2 linked regions of the Lytechinus pictus genome follow. The protein of the gene in region 1 purifies or fractionates together with the protein of each later gene. This does not show direct contact. Links are inferred from orthologs where the notes say so. Each region holds a gene or a part of one and is shown on either strand. Other genes may lie near its edges.

Region 1 (9,254 bases):
GCGGGGCGCCATCTTGGATTTTTCTGGTACCCTACACTCTAAATTACAGGGATTTAAAACAAGTCCACATGGACTGTAGTTAGGGACCAATCGAATTCCGGATTTAGTTTGAATCCTTAAGATTCATTTTTAAATCTCGAAAGATTTAAATTTAAATCATTTGAGATTTAAATTTAAGTCGTTAGGATTAAAACTAAATTCAGAAATCGATTGGTCCCTAGCTACAGTCCATCTGGACTTATTTTAAATCCCTGTAATTTAGAGTGTAGATTGCTAATATTCACTTTAACTTGTTTCAACAAATTCGTTTACCCACTGTACCATGGAATATGAAATCAAATAGGATTCTAGCGTATAAAATATCAGTATTGTGTTCTTGTATATAAAATAATGAATGATTTAGTTCCAAATTATTTAAAACCTTTAGTATGTAAACGGCCCGTGAAATACAGGACACGGTATTCTTTACGATGCCCCCTTCAGCTTCCCAAAGCTAGAATTGAACATAAAAGAAAATCTTTCGCATATGTCGGACCCAAATTATTTAATGCACTTCCTTCAAATTTACAAGTTTGTACCTCCTTGTTAGTTTTTAAAAAATTATGCAAAGCCTTTCATACGAATTGATAAAGAGCGAAATGATATTCCATTGATTTACAATGCTATGTATGTTTAAATTGTCACTTCCCACTCTATATTTTGGTGTTAATTGTTTCTGATGTTAGATATTTTGTATTTTGTATTTTTGATGTTGTTTGTTGTTGTTGTTCATAGTTATCTTGACATGTATTTTAAACTGCAGGGCGCCTTTGTAAAACAGTTTTAAGAACTGAACAGGCCTACCCTGCAGTATAAAATAAATAAAACAAAATAAATAAATAAATAAAAATCTATAGGGTGGATAATGAGTGACTTATATCCATTTTCAGTGAATGGCGGTTATCTTGGACGCCATCTTGAAAATAACCACTTTCCCATGTGCGGATTTTGGTAGATTTTTAGTATGTTTTTCCTGAGGTCAAATACTGCCAGAAACAGTTGAAAATCATTTGTTGCAATTTGTTCCGGGTCAAACTATATATTGATCCGTCTATATATTGATTTCTTCATCATTCACCGAGTCATTTAGCCATGTTTCTGTGAAAGCAATGACTGCAAGATTCTTTCTCTTAAACAGAATTCGAAGTTCTGAATTTTTTGGTAGAATAGATCTAACATTTAGATGTACAAAGTGAAGACCTTTTACAGCAAATATGTTTTCAAAATCTTGATAAAGTAAACTTGAATCCTTCGATTTTTGTTGTTGTAAATTTGGCTCTGGAATGTTTTCGGGTACCCGAATTTCTTTCTCACAGTTTACAATAGTATTATTGTAGTCGTCAAATAAAGATTGACAGAAAGATGGTAAAAACAGTTTGAACAAAACCATTCGACATCGGGGCTCAAATATAAATTTGAATATATTTCCAGGCGTATTTCTTGACAGTGAATATCTTACCATCTTTTACAAGTGGAACAAAGAAGGCCGCACTGATTTGATTACTGGTTTTTCGCAGTTTCCACATGGAAACTTAAATTGTGGGCCTGGGTTTGATTCAATATCCCCGGACAATAATAGGAGAAAGAAAACAATGATTTTGGTCACTTCCCTATTCATTAATTCTATGGAAGGGATCCATTTGTTTTGAAAATAATAAATGTACAATTTGGGATATATCATTCTTAAGTTTATTTTTTCATAACAAATCGTTTTGCAGGTAAAGTCGTGCATATAGAACACAGAACTCACCACCCAGGACCAAAATCCAGTTAAAACCAATTAGGGCAAAACCAATTGAAACCAGTTGGCCAACTGGTTTCAATAGGGAAATTGGAACAACTGGTTCCAATTGAAAACCAGTTGCCAATTGGTTCCAGTTAAAAACCAATTGAAAACCAGTTGCCAATTGGTTCCAGTTAAAACCAATTGGGCAACTGGAACCAGTTGGCAATTGTTGTCAATTGGTACGTTCCAGTTGTTCCAATTTCCCTATTAAAACCAATTGAATCCAATTGGAGGCAACTGGTTTCAATTGGTTCCAGTTGAAACCAATTGGAGGCAACTGGTTTCAACTGGAACCAGTTGAAACCAATTGGTTTCCAACTGGATCCAATTGGAACTTCCAGTTGGAACGAACTTAATTAGTTACAAATTAATTAGCATTTGCAGTAACTATTTATCATGCCAACACAGAAGCAGTGTTATATGTCTATTAATACCAATGTAAAGGGCATTGATAAAATACAGACTTCCATGTATATATATTTATATGGAAGATCTTCAAATATATGTACTTTTATTTGATGTAATTTGGTAACAGTTAGTGGTGTACTAATTATCCTTTAATCTGTTTTAATTATAATCTATAACATTTATGAACATGGTTTTCACTGCTAAGTATTCTAAATACTAATCTTTAAAAAGTGTGGTACTTGAAATTGTAAAGAATTAAATAGATACATTGTTAATGATGATTAATCTCATAAAACATTAATCTGTGCACACTGGCAAATAATATGCAAATTAACTGGTTTCAATTGGATCCAGTTGGGTAACTGGAAAATTTCCAATTGGAAACCAATTGGAAATAATTTCCAGTTACCCAACTGGTTCCAATTAGAATTCATTTCCAGTTACCCATCTTTCCAGTTAGAAGTCATCTCAGTTACCCAATTGGTACCAGTTAGGATTTCCAGTTACACAACTGAATGCATGGTTCAAGTTAGGATTTCCAGTTACCCAACTGGTTCCAGTTAGAAATCATTTCCAGTTGGAAGTCATTTCCAGTTACCCAACTGGTTTCAGTTAGGATTTCCAGTTGCCCAACTGGTTCCAGTTAGAAATCATTTCCAATTGGAAGTCATTTCCAGTTACCCAACTGGTTCCAGTTAGGATTTCTAGTTGCCCAACTGGTTCCAGTTGGGATTTCCAGTTACTCAACTGGTTCCAGTAAGAAATCATTTCCAATTGGAAGTCATTTCCAGTTACCCAACTGGTTCCAGTTAGGATTTCCAGTTGCCCAACTGGTTCCAGTTGGGATTTCCAGTTACTCAACTGGTTCCAGTTAGAAATCATTTCCAGTTGGAAGTCATTTCCAGTTACCCAACTGGTTCCAGTTATGATTTCCAGTTGCCCAACTGGTTCCAGTTAGAAATCATTTCCAATTGGAAGTCATTTCCAGTTACCCAACTGGTTCCAGTTAGGATTTCCAGTTGCCCAACTGGTTCCAGTTGGGATTTCCAGTTACTCAACTGGTTCCAGCAGTAAGAAATCATTTCCAATTGGAAGTCATTTCCATGCAGTTACCCAACTGGTTCCAGTTAGGATTTCCAGTTGCCCAACTGGTTCCAGTTGGGATTTCCAGTTACTCAACTGGTTCCAGTTAGAAATCATTCCCAATTGGAAGTCATTTCCAGTTACCCAACTGGTTCCAGTTAGGATTTCCAGTTGCCCAACTGGTTTCAATTGGTTTCAACTGGAAATTGTTAAATTCCAGTTAAAACCAATTGAAACCAGTTGAAACCAATTGAAACCAATTGAAACCAGTTGGAAATCCAACTGGTTTCAATTGGATTTTGGTCCTGGGCAGGTCAAGTGATCTGTTATATACATCAAAATTTCCAATTTCCATCTTTGCCATCATAGTATCATATTCATTCATCAATCAAATATATATGGAGATACATGTGTTAAACCATTAAGTAATGATCTCACTAACAGTAAATAGTCCTGCCACTCTCTTGTCGAAGTCCTCGATCTGGTTGTCTCACCATGCATGCCTTCTGACATCTCCGTGTATGTTGGTCGTAGGAGCAGCTACGTCAGCATAGGACCTTCCATCAAAGAAGTTTGGACGTCGTTATATATGCTTCTGGTTTGGTAAGACACGGCGGATGTAAGGTGGACCCCATCGCATCACGACCTAGGTGCTGCTCGCCGATGTTGTCATTGATGACGAAACCCCATGAGTTTCGCCTCGCAGTATCCCTTAGGTTGGAGTTGACGAAGTCGATCCTCCTCTCATTGCATGGTGCCGCGACTCCCATCGTCTGTGGATGATGCCAGATAGGATGACCTTCAGCCCCTTGCTAGCAGCAATTATATTTCCTATATACGTCCACGATCTTGTTGTGCAGACAATTGAGGCCATCCTTGGTGTAGTTTGTACCGACATGCACAATAACGGTACCGTCGGCACAGGGGTCGGCACGCTCGTTGGATAGACATGGTATGTCTTCGGACCTGGCACCGGGAACGGAACGATCGACATCTCACTTTCATTTTGCTTGCCAGGCGACGACCATCAAATGTTCTTCAACATGGAATCTCCAAACAGTAGCACGTCGGAAAGGGATAAGTGACATATAGGCCTTAATTTTTCAAATGTTATCAGGTTATATCAAAATCTACCACAAACTTTGATTTTTGTAATTAAAATGTCAAATATTTTGCTCGCTCGCTTCGCTCGCTCGCAACTTCTTATTAATTTTATGCCATATGCCGATCAAGCCCCCTCAAATTTTTTGGCTCATTACGCCACTAACACAACCCATTCAAAGAAACAAACAAAAATCAACTTTGAGCGGCCGATCGGGGAAAATATGGCTGAAAAAAATGTCGGCCCCCCCCCCCTATTGGCGGGAGCTGGATCCGCCCCTGTTTTCTGTATCTGTCTTCTTTTCATTTCTTTTTTTTCTTCTTTTTTCTTTTCATTTTTTCCTTTTCTTTTTTTCTTTTTCTTTTCTTTTGTTGTTCTTTTTTTTTCTTGTTAACGATCGTCTCTCTTTTTATTCTGTTTGTTTTTTCTTTCTTTCTTTTCTCTTCATTTGCGTATTAGCCTTTTCCAAACGCTTGTGTGTTGCTGCCCTCTAGCTGGCGCGGCGCCGGCGGCCGGCGATCGATTGGATATGATTTACCGTGTACATATGTACGCGGTATATAGGTATAATATACCAATGTGATGAGGATCAGGGCCGGCGCATAGATAGGACAGGGGAAACTAACTTTGGAGTGTTAAACCATTAATCTAACAAGATGACCTACATAAATTCATGGGAGGAGTTCGTAAAAGCTGCGGAGAGATTATATCTTTCAGATCCAAGCAAGGTAATTTGAAAAGGCCCAGCATAACTTTCCCCAAACGCAAAAACTTAGGCTGGTTATCACCGATACCATTTTGACAGCTGGCATGTGATGTGGCATACGGTACCGGTAGTCGGTACTCAGAGAGAGCTTCGCCGACGTGTCGGCGCCGGAGCTCCTGTAAGTCGGTACCGGTATCTTGGCATGGGCTGGAGTAGACCAAAAGCTTCGGTCTCTGTTATGTTGGTTCAGCTGAACTCCGTTGGCGGCGCTAGTGTAGTTTCGCACCTCCCCGTTTAATGGTTTTCAAACATGTACAATCTCACCCTAAATAATTCACAACCTAAATACTTGCATCTGAGCCTCCAAAGCAAAGTCCAGTAGACTAGAAGTTGAATATTTGCCGTTTTGACACTTTTTTAAACAAAGTTTTACACCTATTTCGGAATCACTCGGTCGCTTGAAGCTCAGCGCTGCACAGAAGCAGTCGGTACGCGTACAGTACCGGTACGTACCACCTAGTGAAGTGTGTGTATTTGAGTTTTGTCAGACGTGTATCAATCAGATATGATTATTTACGTCTGGGACCGACCTTTAACGTCACCATCCGAAAGACGTGACCAGGGCTCGAACCCCGAACCTCTGCATCAATTTGTAACTTCCCCACACAGCTTGGATTATAGGCGCACGCCACAACGCCCAGTTTAAGAAGTGCAAGAAGAGCGAGTTTTTCTATGGTATCTTCAAAAAGATTTTTTTCCCCTCTTTCAGCTTGCACCAAGTATTACGGTAGTGGTTGTGCAGAGTGGTTGATGTTTGTTGTGTGAAGGTGTGTGTGGGGTGTGCATGTGTGTGCTTGTTTGAATGAAATAAGAAATGTGAAAAACCACTACCGTAATACTAGGTGCAAGCTGAAAGAGGGGAAAAAATCTTTTTGAAGATACCATAGAAAAACTCGCTCTTTTTGCACTTCACTAGGTGGTACGTACTGTACGCGTACCAACTGCTTATGTGCAGCGCTGAGCTTGATCAAGCGACCGAGTGATTCTGAAATAGGTGTAACGTTAAAACTTTGTAAAAAAGTGTCAAAACGGCAAATATTCAACTTCTACTGGACTTTGGAGGCCCAGATGCAAGTATTTTAGGTTGTGAATTATTTAGGATGAGATTGTACATGTTTGAAAACCATTAAACGGGGAGGTGCGAAACTACACTTTCACTCGCCAAATACAGAGACCGAAGTTCTAGCGCGATCTGTACAGGGGACTCAATGGCCATATGTTTATGTAGGCCCTATATTTATTATATATAGGCCTACCCGGTATTATAACTAAGTTCGGATAAAACAGGGAGGTGAAGTTGCGCGACAGCCGAGGTAAGTCACTGTTTTTGTTCCTTTTAACTTGATTTTCCCCGTTATTTGGCAATTAATGCCAAGAGGGAATATTAATTTGCATTTCGGACGCGTTAATTTTCAAAAGTTTGATTCATTAAAGACAAAAATTGAAGAGCCCCGACGGGGGGATTTTGCATTGTAAGTCCCCTAATGGTAGCTGCACGATAGCGAGCCGTCTGTGTACGAGGAGAAATAAAAAAAATTAAAAAATAAAAAAAAATCCTCGAAACAGACGGCTGCCAGCTGTCTAGGGCTGGAGTACCTCGAGCGATGATTCGTATAACTATACTAGTATAGTATAGGTTCCGCTTAGGCCCCCATCTCACTAGGAAGGCGATCTGTGTAAATCCCGCAAAGCGTAGCAGATTCTTCCTCGAATTCTATTTTAAGCCTGCGAGGCGATTGCAGTGCATGTGCAACTTCTCTGCGACCGACCTGCGCTGAAGGCGATGGTAATACGCTGATAGTACGACGATGCCACTCTCTTGCCACGATTCAAGGCAGATGTGATGCGCTGCTTCTGCGATCAAAGCGACCGTACAACGAGGCTCATACGCCTATTAGGACCTCAGTACGGTGGTGCTACGAATGGAGCGATTGTGTTTACGTTCATGATGGGCTCTTGAAACGATTTTAAGCAATCGGCATATTAATCGCGGCACATGAGACATTCTTCAGTCGATTGCCGACCAAGAAGGATGTCCAGAATTTGGTTGGACTTATACATCTTAGCATTCAACAACAACATCAGTTCGAAGTTGAATACGAGGACAGGAGAAGGAGGAGGCCAAAGAGATACTGGGTCCGATCCTGGCTGTCACTTATTAAAATTTCATTCAAAAGATGTCGATGAGCCTGAGGGATGCATCCAGAATTTCATAAAAGAGCATAAAAATCTTTGATATTCTGTTTATTTTTTACCACAAAAGTTTGTCACTCAAAATTGTTTGGTAAATTCCTTTCAAATTTGCTGACAAGTAGTCTACTGATGTGAGAGCACTCATAAAAAAAGGGAGGGGGGCACAATGCCAGAATCTCCCTAAAGAGTGCCTTTCCCAATCAATACATTAGTGATCGAATCATTAACAAAATTTGATATTGTCTACTGTCACTGTGGTTAGAATTCAATCTATTTTTAGAACAGTCAATTTATATATTTTTGCAGAGGTAACCCATTTCGTCATCAAGACATGTGAGCGTCTTTTTTCTCTTTCCAGCTGGCTCAGCAGTAAGATTTTCATCCTCCTGTACCCCCTCCTCCTCTTCCTCTACCACCACCATAACCTCTTGTTCTTCCTCTTGGACCGCCGGCATAACAGGGGTAGCTTGGGCAGCTTTCCCTTTTTTTTGTCCTTTTTCTGGGAGGTATGTTTAAAAACGTTGTGGTGTCGCCTCATAATCTGTTGCAAATGTGATAATCCGCCACCATTGGCACGGCGTTTTATAGCAGCGCGGACGGCCGTTGCGCAATCGCTGCCCAGTCATCAGCGGCGCAGCAAAAGCGCAACGCAAATGCCTGCAGCGGGCTGAGAACGTGTGCCACATGCCACCCAAAGAAGAAAGCGTCGCGGTTGAAACGGTGTGAAGCGTGTCGAGCGCAAGGCAGTCGCCTTGTAAACGGAAGCAGCGTAGCAGTATTGTCTTGGGAACGGGCCTGAAAACACGGGCGATAGGTGCCGCTTTTAATGCGTTTTTACTTAGCTTTATGTGTTGGAGCTCCGTTACAGCTACGAATATGTCGTTTGTAATACGCTCATGACTCGATTGTGGAGCGCTTTAGCACCTCCGCGCTCTTGCTACTTAAGTTTTGAACATGTTCAAAATTTTGTGGCGACCAGGAAGATGGTGGCGATCCTTGCCGCTTCAGAAAAGATCAAGGTACGACGGAGAAGATTGAAAAGATCAAGCCACGATCAAGCTACGTTATACCACGCTTTGTCGATTTTTGATGATCGCAGCGGATTCGCCATCTAGTGAGATGGGGGTATTAGACCAAAAGCTTTGGTCTCTGTTATGTTGGTTGTTCCGCTGAACTCCGTTGGCTCCACTCACCAAATACAGAGACCAAAGTTCTAGCTCGATCTGTACAGGGATATGTTTATGACTTGTATTAAGTTCAGATAAACATTTAAACAGGGAAGTGAAGTTGCGTGACAGCCTAAGCATAAGGTAAGCCACTGTTTTTCCCCTTTTAAGTTTTTTTTACCCCTCTTTGGCCTGAAATGCACCAAAACGGGGGAAAAAAAACTTAAAAGGGGAAAAACAAACTGGACCCTCAAAAAAAGGAAAAGTTCTGTCTCGTTCGTTCTCCTGTCAAAATTGAAAACAAAATGGCTGATCGATACCAAAACAAACGCGACATAGACGTCTAAATTTTCCTTTTTTTGAGGGTCCAGTTTGTGCCTCGATGTCAGGATTAGTTTCTCATGATAGACCATCCATATAATCGAGGTAAGTGCATTTATTATTTTTTCCCCTTTTATTTGGAATGCTATTGTGACCACATTCTACCCCATTTTGGAGAGTATATGTTCATGATGTTTGACTAGTATTACACGGACGAGTCCTGGGTTCAGGCCGTAGCCCAGGGTGATCTACTTTAACCCATCAACTGCAACAAGCCGTCTAGATCTACTTTAACCCAGGGAGCTCCGCCCCGCCCCCATTGGCGGAGCAAAAAAAAGAAACAGAAGGGAAAAGAGAGGAGAAAAAAGAAGGGGAAACATTAAGTAGAGG
Region 2 (9,197 bases), about 23 Mb from region 1:
TTATTGGGACGGTTTATGAAAGGAAAAAATATTATCGCGATCGAGTTTACTTTGACATTGAGCGTGACGAGCACTTTGTTATGAGACGTTGCGTAATTCAGGGACAGCATTATAGGGTCAGGCCGATGTTTAATATTCTCCCCTGATTACGTGATGGAGGCCAGTTTGATTTAAATTATTATTATTATTATTCAACCAGGTCAGGGAAATACTTTGATGGAAAAAGGAAGTTAATGTTAGAGACATTAACCCTATTTGATGCCAGAATTCACAGGGAAAGGAGTAAATGAGTAAAAGATATAACAAGAGATTAAGTGAAACCAGACACCCTGCACACTCACAATAAAATTTCATGATTGATTTACATTCTTGCAGAGTTGTTGTTCGCATGACTGGCTAAATGTGGAGAATATTGGTTTGATTTGATTTGAATCATTCATTTTCTTCTGCATATCAATATAATATTGTAACCCGAATTATAGCAAAGAAGTTTTTAGAATAAATCATACATACATTAACATAAAAACACTTGCGGAAAACCGATTTTCATTGTAAGCAGAATGCTATAGAATATGACACCAAAATATATATTAAACATATAATCATGTTGAATGAGCAGAATGGATCACATGCACAGAATGATTGAAATACTAACTTGAAAAATAAAATACTGGGAGACGGGCCCCCCCCCCCCCATTTTGTGTCGAGAAATGAGATAGAGATGAAAGAAGAAAATGAAAAAAAATACAGCAAAGAGGTCTCAAAGGTCCATAGATAGAGAAATACATCATAGGAGAAAAAGGGAGAAAACAAACAATTTGCTTTGTTCTTTGGGGGAGAGCATGTAGTATTCAGTGTACGAATTTTGTGTCAAGGTCTTTTTAATTATTCGCTTTGTTCGGTATTATAGCTTATATCCTTTGAATGATAATTTCTTTATACCATAGATCTACTGACACCGTCTGCCATATTGTTTATTTGGCGTGTTTGTTAGCACTGCAAACAGACAGTACACGTAATATCCCGTAAGTAGATCACGAACTTCACTCAACGTCACGGGTGGTGATTTGAAGGGGGGGGGTGGACAGGAACTAAAGGAGATGCCAACTGAAAAATATAGAGGTATTATAAACGACCCGGTCGTCAATTTTTAATAGTCTTTTATTCTTTTTCTCTCTTCCTCCCCCTCTTTAGATAAGTTGAGAAAAATCATCCAAGTCGAGACAACGAAGTGGGTCGCCCCCCCCCCCCGGCCAATGGCACCACCTATGTGATTAGCGTACATGTATTTACATCGGTAAAAAAACATTTTCTGCAATCGGGCAAAATGAGCATTATTCACACATTTTATTCACATTTACTCTATAGAATGCTTGCCCAGTGGGCCTATATCTTTGTTGTGTGGTTGCATAATTATAATCGCTTACAATTTATTTTTTGCACTATAAGCCTACACATTTGACACATTAAACTTGAATTAAAATTTGTGATAGACAAGAAGGACTCAAATGAGTGTAGGGCCATGGATGGTAGGACTGACAGTATACCCATAATCACTAAAATGCAAGAGTGTTTAAAAATTAGGGCCTATTAGCAAAAGATAGAGACATTTTAGAACTGAGAATATTGCAGTCAGCCTCCGGACAATGCTGGACTCGGGGGAAGATACTCAGATAAATATATTGTGTTCACGATTGAATGACCCAGAAACATAGCAAGATTTTAAGGTGAACCAAATAAAACGTCAATGCCTCAAAAGAAGTCATTCACTCATATCCGTATTTATCGAAAGGATGGAAAAGGACCTCTCGATTTTTGCGTCTGTGAAGACATCATACGCTAGATATTAGCATCCGCCACGTTTCATTTTACTTGGCGTATAATGAGCAAAGAAAAAAAACGAGGGGGTCAGACATAACGTACGGTGCAAAGTTTCTAAAAATAAAAATGCTGACCTTTTTAATACGAAAATCTATTTTTTTTAGTGATACATTTTGTCATGATATCCAGAAAATTATTATGTCCTATTCCACCCTTTGTCTTCTCCTTTTCTTTGTTTGCCCCCTTTTTTCTTGGTCATTTGGGGGGCCATGGCCCCAAGTCCCCCCCCCCATCAGATAAAGATTGTTAAACTCTCGCATGAACTTAATTTGGATTAGATAAAGGGCCTCTTCACACGTGAATCTTGAATCATCATTGTAATGATGATTGCTATTATCGTGACTGTGATTAGCGTTTATGATTCACATGTGTCATTAGCCTCATTCAAATTACGATTACGATATCGTGTGAAAGGGCTGGATGTTTGAAGGTTGCATGGTGGTATGAACACGGGGGAATATCACGCCAACAATGCGACATGATTCATGAGGTTCCTTTATAATTAAACACGCTCTTACACGAAATTATTTTGCCGTGTCCTGTAGCATTATGATGGTATGACTGCAATCAGGGGCGGATCCAGCTTTCGCCAATAGGGGGGGCCGAAAAAAATTTTCATCAACATTTTTCTCGATTGGCCGCTATAATCTGTTTTTTTGGGGGGGGGGGTTCAGGGGGTAGTCCTAACTAGAGACTGAAGTTTTAAGTATATGTTAGTTTTTATTGTTATAAACAAGATAAGGTATCTCATGTGGTCTTAATATATAATGCGAGCGCGAAGCGCGAGCTCAAATTCTTTGATATTTTATGTCCTTAGACCTAAAGATTCTGAGGAGATTTTATAATCATGAAAAAGATAAGTATCCAACTAAACAATGCGAGCGCGAACCGAAATTTTATCATAGTAACGTGAAAAGGGACTCAATTAGGACTGTTTTTAGTGATTAATGAAGAGGATACAAGTATCACCAATTAAATAATGAGAGTGCGAAGCGCGAGCTCAAAATTTTTGATATTCCGACCTGAAAACTGGACAGTCTAAGCGCGTTTTTTTTATTTAAATACAGAAAAAGCTGTGTGTCCCAAACAATTAAATGCGAGCGCGAAGCACAAGCTCAATTTTTTTATATACTGACATGATAAAGGAGCATTTTGACAAATTTTTGTAAGAATTTCCAAAGAGGATAGGTAACTCACAAATCAAACAATGCGAGCGCGCAGCGCGAGCTGAAAATTTTGATATAAACAATTTGTGTAAAACAAACAAAATAATTAAAGCTTGATGTGCGAGCTAAAATATTGTGTGCAAATTGATTTCAGATCTGGATATATAAGTGTCATTTAATCCTCTTGAATGGGATTCATTGGCACAGGCAATGCGAGCGCGAAGCGCGAGCGAAATTTTTTATATCAAGTTCTTTTTCCAATTCTTCCCCTCACCCTTTTCTTGTTTCCTTTCGGGGTCGGGCCGGCCGTTACGAGGTTGTAAATTACACATCCTGGATATGATACCTCTTTCCTACTTTTCTTTAGTGTTTTTCCTATAGTACACTTTTTCTGCAGGTTGTCAAAAAATAGGGGGGCCGGGGCCGGCTCGGCCCCCTCCTGGATCCGCGCCTGGCAATATTGTGTGCCTATTATTCAAGGCATTATGTAAATGACAAAACGCTTTTTCGACTGCTTCTTTTGAAATAATACCAAGAGCGATGGACATTATCAGACTTTATTGTGTACATTGAATCGATTTTCTGCATCGCAAAGGACACATTCCATTTTATGAGCAATGATAATAATTCATAATTGGGATTCGAACGGTAGCCAAAAGAATCTATTTTGTAGTAATATTCAATAATGTCTCATTCAATTGTTGAAAGAATGACGGCTTTCAAATGGGATTACTTTTCCGCAAGTTTACAATGTCTGATATTCACCATGTTCACTGGATCATGAACTGGATGTCATAAATATATCTTTACTCAGCAAACACTTGGAAATGATATGGATAATTTTCTGGATAACCACCAACAGTACACTCATTTGGTAGATTATATCTTATAATTTGGGTGGGGATGGGGAGGGGAGGCACCTAGAATTTTGAATTTTCTACAGCAGTCCATGGGAGAGGGTCGTCCCGGTCTCACGCCCAGCTGCCCCCCCCCCCCCGAAAACAAAACAAAACAAAAAACAACGAAATCTCCGAGCATAATAGGGACGACGGAATGTATGCTATCGGTCAAAAGATGGGGTAATCAGAGAAACTCCGGAGTAAAGGAAGTGGTTTATTTAGCAGAAGTATCGTATTCGTCTTCCCGTCCCCAACAAGAAATGATTTGAATAAAATAAGACAAATTAAACTAATGTAAGTTTTGTTAATATTTTGCTTAAGTTCACAAAACATGTATGCACAACATAGTGATATGCAAATGACTACAATTTATTTGTATTTTATAGGTGTTTCAATGTCTCTTCTTGCAGATTTGACAATAAGACAACTCTTATTAAATCATTAATAGGTTAAAATAAATTCAATTTCCACATGTTCAGAGATTAAATTAAATTTTGTTTCACATTGTAATTAGGAAAAAATCAAATATGTCGATATTTCTTTATTTCTTATAATAAATACAAAATAATATAGTTAGTTAGTGATATCATCAGTTTCTTATTTGTATACCGACCAACATGTGCATTTAACTCATTTCTGAAATTAAGCAACAGAAAAAATGTACTTTACATCCGATTTTAATGATGATTTTTTAAAAATCTTTCTATATAATCAACTTTTTTGTGGTGGATAACCCTTCAAAATTATTGGTGGTTTTAAAACCATTATAATTATTCAGCGTACCAATTATTAATCATATACATTCATTATTTTTAGCGGGATTCGGAATCGAAATAGCAAGATTTTTAAGATGATGTTGTCTAAGTGGAGATTCCCGCCTTCAAGAAGACGTCATTCGCTTAACTTTTCATCAAAAATTTGAATTTTCAATAAGAATACATATTGTTTCCCCCATGGTGGCAATGGATTGCATTATATGACGTTTCTGATGTTGATGACGATGACAAGATGGTGTCCTACGAGACATTTACTCAAAACAATATCACGAACTTTGGTCATTCTATTTTAAGGAAAATTAAATTCCAGTAAGTCATACAACTTAAAAGAAATTGATGACAGAACTGCATCCCAAAATAATCTTTTGAATTATCTTAACTAAAATTTTGTCAAAATACACACAATTAAACATATTTTTTTTACTCACAGGGCACAGAACTACTGTCTGAGTGCTACATTCTACATGTATGTCCAAGTATTAGCAAGGGAGATCTTGTCGCGGTCTTGTCGCCACTTGTAATGAAAATATTGATTTCGCACATGCAAATTTTCTACTAGAATCTGCTAAAATGCAACAGGAATGATCATGGAAAATTCACATAATACATCAATAGCACAGGACTAATATTCAACTTCTAAGGCCGCATTCATATACGGTACTGAGTTAGTTGATGAGCTTCTTTTTCTTTTGAATAAAAATAAGGAATTGGACTTAGAGACTCGGGTAGACAAATTTGGAAAATATGGGGGTGATAATTTTTGCTGTCAGTGAACATTATGGAAAACAAGACTGTCACTTTCGACACATTGTGATTTCTGCATAAAGTGAGGTTCTGAAAAAAAGTATTTGATCCAAGCCACCTTATCTATCCGTCTGGCGGGCTTGAGTAAACAATGCAGTAATTTTTCAAAATAAATCATATTTAATCATATTTAATGATTAAATATGAACCAACCCTTCCAACTAGTTGATGAGCGACTAGACTTGTTTTGGTATAGCGCCACTTACGATCACATTGATTGTGAATAACACGTATCTGATGAATTCTCGGTTCCAAGTCGGAAGAAAAAGGTAATAGAATTGTTATTGAATATGTGCAAATATCCTACTTAAATAATACCAATTCGTCCTTGTTTCGTAAAAGAAACATTTTCAATATTTCTATGTTGTTTTCAAATGAATTGCGAGAAGATGGACCTTCTAAATGTACCACAGCTGTGTGAACATTTTAAAAGAAGTGTTCTTACCGCACGGAAATCAATGCATGGGACCTGAGCCAGATGAAAAGTATGCCCTTAAAACCTTATGATAGTGTGACCTTAATTCGCGCGTTACCTAATTTTGCGCACGGTCGAATATCTCAATATCTAATTAATATGTTGAAAAACTGATATCGCCAACAGAAAGAGCGACTGAAAATGACCTATTGAGATAATTTTCTTGAAGGTAAGGTCTCTATTATTAAGGAAAATATTGGCAAAACATCGGCAAATTTGATTTGGTTACTTGTTTTGCGCCCGCTCCGAGAAAATCCGACCTTCTCGACAAGCATCAAGAAATCGCCAGTTTGCAAGCAGAGGTCTCCAAATAAGTAAGTAAAATGGATACCAGCCGATTTTATGGCATTTTAACCTCCAGTCCATGTGATATGATTATCATACCTTTATCTGCTTGATTTCGTTTCTAAAGCCTTGAAAACCATCGTGCGCAAATTAAGGACCTTAATTTGCGCACGATGGTTTTAAATAAGGTCACACTTTTTTATGTCACTTTCAGCCGAGCGTGCACTAGTCGATCACCATGGAATTTTGAGATCGCTATACCAGCGAAACCCTCGACCTACTTTATAATTCCGTCAAGCGAATTTGACTTTAGGATCTTGCCTTCCGTTTGGCATTTATGATTTTGATTAATTTTGTGTGAGCTGTGAGAAATTTTTGATTGAAAATCAACTTCATGATAATTTTTAAAATGTGTGCAAATAATGGTCACCCCATCATAACAGATCTAATGTGAATTACAGCTGTGCCACCCAAGGGTTCATTACATGCCGCCGCGCACAGGAAAATCAAGCCATTGAAGTCGTGTGTTGTGGACCCAAGAAGTGAGATCCCAGCACGAGCGACCCACTAGTTAGAAATCCACTGCCAAACGCGGTTCGTGGTGCGAGGTTAGTATACTAATACTAACCTCGCAATACGTGTGAGTGCAGCTGTGCATGCTTTTATGTTGGGTGTGTGATGCCTTGTTCTAAAACTGAGTTACAGTTAGTATCTGGTGCTATGAAGGTTGTTCTCATAATCGATTATGAAATTGGATCATAATCAACGTTCCAAAGGCGCTCGATCACACAAAACAAACAAACTCACCCACCCACACACACACATGCATATATATATATATATATATATATATATGACTCATGAGAAACAGACACATATCTTATCAACAAATTAATGCAAGCGAAGCACGAGCTGAAACTTTATACTATACTGACCTGAAAACAGGAAAGAGGTACCTGTTTAGGACTGTTTGTAGTAACTCATGAGGAGGATACATATCTCACTACACAGATATTGCGAGTGCGAGCTGAAATTTCTTTATACTCTGACCTGAAAGCTTGACATTCTAAGCATTTTTGGTACCAATGATTAAGATGGGTATCTAAAAGAATAAATGCGAGCGCAAAGCGCGAGCTGAAAATTTTGTTATTTCGATCTGGAAAAAATTGACAGTTTAATGGACGTTTTTAATAAAGAACAAGATATATATCCAACAAAAGATTATTGCAAATCGAAGCGGGAGTTCTTTTGAGGTTTAGAACTGAAAACTGGACATTCTGTTCACCTATTTAATCATGAAAAGTATGGGTTTTTGCTACAGAAATGATGCGAGCGCAAAGCGTGAGCTGAAAAATTTTATATTCGAATCTGAAAAGCGGACATTTTGAGCACGATTTTAAATAAAATATGAGTTGTGTATCTTAATATCGCTTGCTGATTTCTGAGTAACATTACAATCTTATTTTATTTTTTGCACATGCGGAATTATTGGGGGGCAAAACGATATGTTTGCCCCCCCCCCAATATTTTCATTGGTGGGGCGATCGCCCCCCCTGCCCCCCCCCCCCAGGATTGACGCCTCTGTATACAGCGGAGGTACAAAGTCTTAAGAACACTGTCATAAAAAAATCTGGCCAGTGTTTTTCCAGTTCTGGAATTGATAACAATAGTCTAAAATTGAATGTAGTAATCGATTGTCATTATATTGGTTTCATGTATTGTTTAATAAATTTCATTTTTTGTTTTAAAACAGTAATACATTCCAATCTAAAAATGCTTTCACCCCCTTTTGTTTAAATAGATATTTTTGTAACCAGCTTATTCAGTGCGTAGGGAACTGGAGAAGACGGTCATATTGCTTGGAGGTCAAGACATTTATTTTTCTCACTGTGGAGATATTTACACTCCTTCAAGATGGTTTTAGCCGATCTTGGAAGGAAAATCACCTCAGCTTTAAAATCATTGAGTAATGCAACTATCATTGATGAAGATGTAAGTATAGGAAATTTACTATGAATTACATGCATTGCAGGAGATGCTAAGATGAACTAAAATATAATAATGTACAAAACACCTTGTGTGAAGCATTCTTTAGAGTGTTTAGCCTTTATTTTCATAAAATAGTAGATAGTGCTTTAGTTCTTGAATATGCACTTTAATGTCGTTGTTGTTGTTCATATTAGAAAAAAACATAGTGTGATGAATAGAATTGAACTTTGAACCCATGTTATGAAAAAGATGATAATTTTGACTATTTAAAGTACATTATGAAAATGTTTCCTTTCACATAATGAAGATTTTTCTTATCCAGAATCAATACACTTTATCATTCTTTTTTAGACTATGTAACACAAATTAAAATGAATATACAGGGATACTTCTGAATCCCCAATTTTTTAAAAACTCATATTTTGGCTTACTTTTTGTAGCCTATCATATGGCCGTAGTTCATTTTTTATTTTGCAACATTCATGTATACTCGGATCTTTAGTCGTACCTTCAATCATATGTAGAAGCATTTGCATTACTGTGGCTTGACATTTTTATGTATTTTATCACTGTTCTTTATCCATCTAGGTACTTAACTCTATGCTCAATGAAGTGTGCAGGGCTCTTCTTGAGGCAGATGTCAATATCAGACTTGTCAAAGCTCTCAAAGAAAATGTCAAATCTGTCATTGATTTTGATGAAATGGCAGCTGGTCTCAACAAACGTAAGATGATCCAGACTGCAGTCTTCAAGGAACTTGTAAAGGTAGTGTACAGAGCAATATGCCATTTTGCTAATATGATAATTGCTTCGGGTTTATGTTATCAATGTTTAATCTAAATGTTAAAGCCCAAAATTCTGTTTTATATCTGATGATTATTTATGAAGTTTGAATTCATGTTCAAGTATAATGGAAAAGTAT

What was found.
Region 2: the proteins of signal recognition particle 9 kDa protein-like (region 1) and signal recognition particle subunit SRP54 purify together in Homo sapiens (co-immunoprecipitation; 4 studies listed by BioGRID and IntAct, counting the BioPlex papers as one, with this or other methods). This does not show direct contact. The link is inferred for Lytechinus pictus from reciprocal best matches to the Homo sapiens genes SRP9 and SRP54.

The regions. Positions count from the first base shown.
Region 1 is NC_087251.1:596,018-605,271, reverse strand, and holds the start of signal recognition particle 9 kDa protein-like, read left to right. Parts: upstream 1-4,981; 5' UTR 4,982-5,074; coding exon 5,075-5,146; intron 5,147-9,254. UniProt on the Homo sapiens protein: Component of the signal recognition particle (SRP) complex, a ribonucleoprotein complex that mediates the cotranslational targeting of secretory and membrane proteins to the endoplasmic reticulum (ER).
Region 2 is NC_087251.1:23,424,151-23,433,347, reverse strand, and holds the start of signal recognition particle subunit SRP54, read left to right. Parts: upstream 1-5,721; 5' UTR 5,722-5,795; intron 5,796-8,087; 5' UTR 8,088-8,200; coding exon 8,201-8,278; intron 8,279-8,863; coding exon 8,864-9,040; intron 9,041-9,197. UniProt on the Homo sapiens protein: Component of the signal recognition particle (SRP) complex, a ribonucleoprotein complex that mediates the cotranslational targeting of secretory and membrane proteins to the endoplasmic reticulum (ER).